Rattus norvegicus: one gene and its partner. The protein of the gene in region 2 binds, or shares a complex with, the protein of the main gene of each other region. Links are inferred from orthologs where the notes say so. Each region holds a gene or a part of one and is shown on either strand. Other genes may lie near its edges.

Region 1 (3,647 bases), on a different chromosome or scaffold from region 2:
GAAAATTATCCAGTATCTTATAATTACAACCAAGTCTCCTCAAAGAAGAAATATTTCTATAAAGATTTCACCTTACGCATTTTGTAATTGGTGACTGTGGTAAATCTTTCGTAATGTTGAGAACTAGGCACGGTCACAAGTCAGTGGGGAAAGTACCAGAGTGTAATCATGGTGGTTCTGCCTGGGTTCTTACTGTTGTTCCAGTAACTTACCCATGTAAGTTTAAACCAAACCTACGTAATGGGACATGAGCTAAAAAGTTACAACTTGGCTAAATGTAACCATTCATGTGATCATTGTAGCTGCTGTGCAGCAGACCAACCACCTTGCTTTAGCTGAGGCTGTGCCCGAGGGGATATAGTAACTGTAAGCTTGCTTATAGGACCTGCAAGATGGTTGTATGAATTCTGGAGATGTGCATCATCTGCTCCTGGCAGTTTTTCTGCACCCAGAATTATCTGTCTTTTAACTACATTGCCAAACTTATGTGAAGTAAACTTCACACAAATTAGTGTTATTAAAAACTGACAGCAATCCATCCTGTAAAAGCAAATCTACTCTCCCCCTGCTTTTCTTTCATAGAAATGACTTCACCGGTTATATCTGTGAAAAATGCCAGTTCTGAGTATTCTGGGACCTACAGTTGCACAGTCCAAAACAGAGTGGGCTCTGATCAGTGTATGCTACGACTAGATGTTGTCCCTCGTAAGTACATTCTCTCACATGCTTCACCTCTGTTAGCTCTCATGGCCTTGTTCAGCATACCCAGTGAGGGTCTCTGATGGCAAGGATGCTCTCCCTCATTGGACACTCTAGGCGTTTGCTCATTTTCCTCGTTCATGCAGAAGAGAAGATATGATGGTTTTATCAATAAAACCGTCACTTAGGAGATGAAAGTTGTCAAATCAGCTTTGGTCCACTATTTAGCCATTAAAGTTATGAAGCTTATGACATTTCTGTGTGCTAATCTAGACAGGTTGCACTCAGATTCCATCAGTTTTTAAATTTTGGTGATATGTGTCATTCAAAAGAAAATAACTTTTATACATTTTCCTTGCTAGACAAAAGCTTTGATGATCTCTTTTAAAAATTAATATATGCAATGATTCTGTCGGTCTCTTTCTACACACACACACACACACACACACACACACACACACACACACACACTCTTTCAGTACTAAGCCCCCATGTGGTGGGTTTTCTTACTCCTTCTAATTCTGTTGCAATCTCACGCTAGCCTCCAACAGAGCTGGAACGATCGCGGGAGCTGTCATAGGGACGCTGCTTGCCCTTGTGCTCATCGGGGCCATCCTCTTCTGCTGTCATAAAAAACGCAGAGAAGAGAAGTACGAGAAGGAAGTGCATCACGACATCAGGTAATCAAGTGAAACTAGACTGGACAGGTGTATAACAGTTCCATCCCCAGAACCTCCGTTCCGAGGCACTCTGGTGAACTAAGGTATTGTGAAAAGTGCGTGAACGCTTTGATTCCTCCCTTCAAATCCCCGCCAAGCATGTGTGTTCAGATGTCTGACCACTTCCAGCAGCACTGTGAAACCTTCACAGTTTCTTGTCCTGTTTTTAGAATCACAGCCAAGTGTGTGTCTCAGGAAGACCTGCTGTTTCCTGTGAAAAGACCTCGTGGTCACTAAGTGGCATGGGTAGTTTGTGGAACTGGTAATGGAGTTTTAGTTTTTCTTCTTGGGACAGTCTCACCGTGTTGCCCAAACTGCCCTTGAAGTCATAATCATAGAGTTCTGCTAAGTGGTGGGGTCTCGGGTGTCACTACCAGACATAGCTTTATTTTCTCAAATATTCTAAATGGGAAGATTTTAACTAGGGTTATACTTTAAAAAATAAGAACACATGACTTACACAGCTTAACAACTTGGAAATTGTTGTTAGTTAGGTCAGGAGATTGGAGACCTGAACGCTTGTTGTTTAAGATGCACCCAAAGTTATTCAGGTTTATTTATATTCTGTGTCCATGCTTGATGAAAATTCTCAGGCACCAATTTTCAGGTTTTGAAAACAAAATATGTAGTTTTTGGCTGACATCTTAAGAGGGCTTTTACAGCAAAAAGGAATTCTTTCTTTCCTTTGGGGGTATGTTTATGTGTCAATGCTTTAAGTATTAATGATATGGCTTAACATAATCATCAATGCTAGGAGATGAAACTGAAATGTCTTCCTCATCATACATTACAAAACATGCATTTGTACAAAAGCCACAGCTCAATTACTGCTCCTTACGGTCTGACCACGGTAATGAATTGAGACAGGCACACAGTTAACGAGGTGAAGTCTCACTCCGCTCACTGTTTGCATTGTCCTTACCCATGCTTTGTAGCTTACATAACTGTAAGGTTTTAGAGGTGAGCGTTCATTTTTAGCATGTACTGGGCGCTTTGTTTTCCAGGGAAGATGTGCCTCCTCCGAAGAGTCGGACATCCACCGCCAGGAGCTACATCGGCAGCAACCATTCCTCCCTGGGGTCCATGTCCCCTTCCAACATGGAAGGGTATTCCAAGACCCAGTATAACCAAGTCCCCAGTGAAGACTTTGAACGTGCTCCTCAGAGTCCGACTCTGGCACCCGCTAAGGTAGCTGCCCCTAATCTAAGTCGAATGGGAGCGGTTCCTGTGATGATCCCAGCACAGAGCAAGGATGGGTCTATAGTATAGAATTCTGCACCTCTCTTCTCCGCTTTCCATGGTTCGATTCTTCTCTTGACATATCAGTACTTATTCTAAATTTTGTTAACAGTAGCCCATGTATATGTATGTGTGTGTATATATGTGTAAGTATGTATACATACATACACATATATACATAAACACACACACACACACACACACACACACACACACACGTGAAGAAATTTATAAGGAACATGCTCCGTAAGAATTTTTGGTTATAGTAAATAATAAAGGCTGAAGAGTAATGACATTGACCAACTGGAAATTTTACCAAGTTGATTTCTAAGGGCACCTAAACAATAATGCCCTTATATCCTGAGAAAGATATAGCACTTTGAGTATGATGTCATGGGTCAAGAAATTTGTGAATTTACGGACGTACCAAGTTGATTCTTGAACCATCTGAAAACGATACTTTGTAGTTCCTACCATTATTTGTAGGGTATCTGTCTCATTTATTTATGTCTCTCAAAAAGAAATCCATGGAAAAACCTACTTAATGTAAGAATTTGTTTTTATAGTCTGAAGTGTATTCCATTATTTGTAAGAGTAGGAGACCTGACAGTGTTTTAAAAATGCCTAGTTTTATTTCTAAGTCTTTCACGATCACTGATGACACGATTTCTTTTCTTTCTTTTTTTCTTTTGTTGTTTTGAGATTGGGCCTCAGTGTGTTCGTTGCCTAGGCTGGCCTCAAATCATGATCCTCCTGCTTCAGCTTCTTGAATGCTGGGCTGACTAGTCTGTATCAGTTCCTTAAGTATTTAACCTAGAGACTACAGCAGCCACAGAAAGTAGTAACCTTTTGTGCACTACAAAAAGAAGCACCTTTCAGCTTCGGTAGCATTTGCCTCTGCTACACACAGAGGTGAAACACTCGATGCTCCACGGGTCGGGGGAGGAAGAGGAGGAGGAGCGACGCGGAGGTCTGCGCCTCGGGGCCTGT
Region 2 (4,282 bases):
CTGGCTATCTGGATCTTTCAAGCCCAGCCTATGTCATCACGGTTTCTCCACACCCACCAAAGTTGCTGGTGTTTTAGTGTGTGGACTCCCTAGGCTTTATTTGGAGAAGCAAGATTAATATGCTCCCACTGATTGAAAGTTCTTCCAAACCTCGGCTCATACCTCTGTGCCCTGAACTCCCGTTGGCTCCTCTTTCAGATGTCAAGTGAAACATCCTCTCAGGGAATCCTCTTCCCAGCCATCCATCCCAGGACAGGACGCCTAGCCACACACCTTCATGGTGCTACTTATCTCTCCGGCATGTGTCACAGCTAGTAATCATCTATGTGCTGGGTTGCTCATCTGATTAAATATTTGCTCTCCCCAAGGTGATAAGTTCCAAGAGGCTAAGAAGGTGTTTATGTATCACTATAGCTCTGGTATCGGGGTCGGGGGACCAGGAAACCCTCAATTTACAGCTTCTCAAACAAGCTCAGGATGACACCTGGGGAATTTACCAAGAAACCTCTAGTTAGGTTTCAATTTCCTGGGTGGGTGGCAAATATTCAGAAATTTTTTTATACACACACACACACACACACACACACACACACACACACACACCACTTAGTGAGGGCGAATGTGTCATCAGGAAATTCCATTCTGTGATCACCATCCCAGAGCACACCTATGCGAGCTAAGATGGCTACAATGCTGCTAGGTTATGTAATCTTATAGGACTCCTGTCTGTGCATTGTCAACGGAAATGTTATTTAGTACATGACTGCACACACACACACACACACACACACACACACTCACAGACACACACGCACAGACAGACACACACACACCACACACACAGAGACACACACACACACTCACAGACACACACACACAGACAGACACACACACAGACAGACACACACACAGAGACACACACACACACACAGACACACACAAACAGACACACACACACAGAGACACACACACAGACACATACACACCACCACACACACTCACAGACACACACACACATACATACACACACAGACACACACACACCACACACACACACAGAGACACATACACACACACATACCACACACACTCACAGACACACAGACACACACACAGACAGACACAGACACACACACACACACTCACAGACACACACACACCACACACACACTCACAGACACACACACAGACACACACACAGACACACACACACAGACAGACACACACATACACACACATACATACACACACAGACATACACACAGACACACATACACACAGAGACACACACACATACCACACACACTCACAGACACACAGACACACACACACACAGAGACACACACACACAGACACACACACACAGAGACACACACACAGACACACACACAGAGACACACACACACAGAGACACACACAGACACACACACATACATACACACACAGACACACACACACACACCACAGACACATTCAGAATTGCCTTGCTGATGGGCCTGTGAAACTCTCCTCTTTACCCCGCTCCCTTTCTGGATACTGACTTAGCTCAGCAGACACCCTTCCTTCAGGTAATGCCACACAGCCAGTCATTTCCCATGCTGGCTGAGCATCTGACCCAAACCCAAGGCTCCTTCCCAGTAACTCCTGGCAAATCTACCCTATCTGTCTGAGGTTGTGTGCAACCACCAGAAACCCTTTCCTACGATTAACAACGAATGGGAACTTTCCCCCCTGGGTATAATTACAACAGGGGAGAAAAGCTCCAGAAAAGAGACTTGCAACAATGAGAATGTCACACAGAATGTGACAGTGGCCCTCAGAGATGAGAGTATTGCAAGACAATGGAAGAGCAGGGCACTGTCTCCTAGCCAGTTTGCCCCTGGTAATCGCAAAGACTACGGAATCAGACAACTGTGTGGCACTCTTAAGCCTGCCTCTCTCTACTGAGGTGCTAAGTCCTTTCAACTCCCCTGCCCGTTCCTGTGCACCTTTGGGCTCTCAGAAATGTCTAAGTTTACGAGTCCTCATGACCACTCTGAGATACAGTGCCCTTGACTTTCCTTCTGGGACCATGTGATATAGATTGGGTAGAAGGGTGCTTCGTGGCTTTTGAAGCCCAGCCTAGGCTACATGCTACTCGGATGGTTCCTTGGGAACCATCCTCCTTTCCCTCCAGACCAGCATCTTCCTAGTGATCATCCGGGCTGCATCTGCCTTTCTGGAGGCTTGTGCTCTGTCAGGGCTGATGAGTGAAGACAATAGTCTAACTCTCCAGGGAACTGCTGCCGCCGTGGTGACTTATCCAGAACACAGAGAAAACAGTGAGGTAAGAGTCCTGCCACAAGCTCAAAACAGTCACGATTCTGCCTCAAGCCATCAGCCACAGGAAAGCTAAAACTGAGCAACCTCGTCTGCGTTGATCGCAAGCAAGGCTTACTTCTCTTTCTGTGAGAACCTTGACACGAAGTACACGGCAGAAACAAAAGCTGCGCCTACTTGCCTACCTCACGGCAGCCCACCTACAGAGACCGGGAATTCCACAGACGTCCTCCTCATCCTGTGGCAATGCCAATTTAACCACCTTTCCTTTGAATGAAAACTAGCCATCTTCTCAGAACAGCTCAAACAATGGCGCACAGCACACAAAGTCACGGCTTACCCAAGATGACAGTGCCCAGGAGAAACAGTGCACCACGATCCCCTGCCGCAGCATCTCCTACAGCAACCAAGGGACTTCTGCCAGCACAGTAGGTCAGGCTCAAAGCAAACCAGATGTGCATGCCTTCTGCGGTGGCTGTGGAAACAGAAACAGGAACTCCTGATCAAAGTTCTCCATTCAGTCATCTAGCTCACCGCTCAATTCGCATCTATATTTTCATTATTTTTAATTGTTTTTTTCAATGTTACAAATGGTATTCAATGTATTGTGATGGCCATATTCACCCTCATCACTCTCTCTTAGTCCCAGCTCACCCTGCTGATCCTCTTCCCCACTAGTCCTATGCTTGTGTGTGTGTGTGTGTGTGTGTGTGTGTGTGCTGTGCACGTGTGTGCATAGGGGGTGCATTGTGCGCATGTGTGTGCATGTGTGTGTGCCTGTGTATATGCATGCATGCGTGTGTACATGTGCATGCCTGTGTGGTGTGTGTATGTACGTGCATGTATGCATGATGTGTGTGTGTAGGAGTGATGCCTATGTCCATGTGTTCATGTCCCTGTATGGTGTGTTTCTACACACATGTGTGCATGATGTGTGTATGTGGGGATGATGCTTGTGTGTGTGTACATCTGTGCCTGTCTGTGTGCATATGTATGTGGTATGTGTGTGTATGTATGTATGAGCACCTGTGTATGTGGTATGAGTGTGTCCCTGTGTGTATGTGTGGTGTGTGTGTGTGTGTGTCCCTGTGTGCCTGTGTGCCTGTGTGTGTGCATATATAGGTCTTCTGCAGGTAGCCACAGCTGCTGTGTGGACATGATTACCATGGTCATGTCATAACCAGAAGCAAGGCACTCCTATCTTCTGGCTTTTATATTCTGCCTCCTCTCTGGCAATGTCCTGGCGCCATAGAGGGGTTGACAAAGCTGTCCCACTCACACTGTGTATATTTTTTATTCTAAAAGGAAAGACTTGCAACTCACTGAAGTGAGCCTCACATCCCAGGTCCCTGCAGATCTCACCTCCCTTATGGATTACAAACTCTACAAGCAAGATCTCAAATGGGCCAGGTCTGGCTGTGTACGCCCAACATCTCAGCACCCAGAAGGCTCAGGCAGAAGGAGCCAGCCTGGATTACACAGTGAGCCCCTATCTAAACAAAAACACAACAACAAAAGATCTTGAGTGGCAAGAGCATGTGCTGAGAAATCAGCGTTATGTAAATAAAGCCCAATTAATTTAAGAAGGATAAAAAGCGCCGGGCTATGTGTCAGGCAGGCAGCTTCATGTTTCTCTTCTCTTACCATACAGATGCAGCCTGGCTAATCAATCACTTTTAGCTGCTTCCAGAGATTCCCTGCCCAGCGCTCCAACCTACCATGTTGCTGCATAGGTTTCCTCAGACTGTGAAGGTTGCCATCATACAGGGAGCAAGTTGTTCTCCTAGCAAACCCTTTGAGTGGCTTGGCCATCTTGGGGAACAACTCAGGACATTCTGACTGCCAGATACCTGTTTTAATCACCACTTCAAATTAAGAGTTCTTATACATACACATGACCCTGGGTCATGCCCATCTTTTGAAATTTGTCGGGGCTGGAGAGATGGCTCAGTGGTTAAGAGCA

What was found. The genes of interacting proteins can lie anywhere in the genome.
Region 1: the proteins of Jaml (region 2) and Cxadr are in contact, whole or in part, in a crystal structure (PDB 3MJ7), measured with the Mus musculus proteins. The link is inferred for Rattus norvegicus from reciprocal best matches to the Homo sapiens genes JAML and CXADR. Residues at the interface, in NP_001005421.3 of Mus musculus: Arg57, Asp59, Ala69, Tyr72, Phe75, Tyr77, Leu80, Val82, Glu120, Arg122, Ser127, Met128, Val129, Met130, Lys131; in NP_001020363.1 of Mus musculus: Thr23, Gly51, Pro52, Asp54, Glu56, Leu58, Ser60, Gln65, Ile66, Val67, Asp68, Gln69, Val70, Leu73, Tyr83, Lys121, Lys123, Lys124, Ala125, Pro126, Gly127, Val128, Asn130.

What each region holds. Positions count from the first base shown.
Region 1 is NC_086029.1:30,500,632-30,504,278, forward strand, and holds part of Cxadr (coxsackievirus and adenovirus receptor homolog isoform 1 precursor), read left to right. Parts: intron 1-582; coding exon 583-705; intron 706-1,240; coding exon 1,241-1,379; intron 1,380-2,422; coding exon 2,423-2,687; 3' UTR 2,688-3,647. UniProt on the Homo sapiens protein: Component of the epithelial apical junction complex that may function as a homophilic cell adhesion molecule and is essential for tight junction integrity.
Region 2 is NC_086026.1:54,280,127-54,284,408, reverse strand, and holds the start of Jaml (junctional adhesion molecule-like), read right to left. Parts: upstream 2,814-4,282; 5' UTR 2,660-2,813; intron 1-2,659. UniProt on the Homo sapiens protein: Transmembrane protein of the plasma membrane of leukocytes that control their migration and activation through interaction with CXADR, a plasma membrane receptor found on adjacent epithelial and endothelial cells.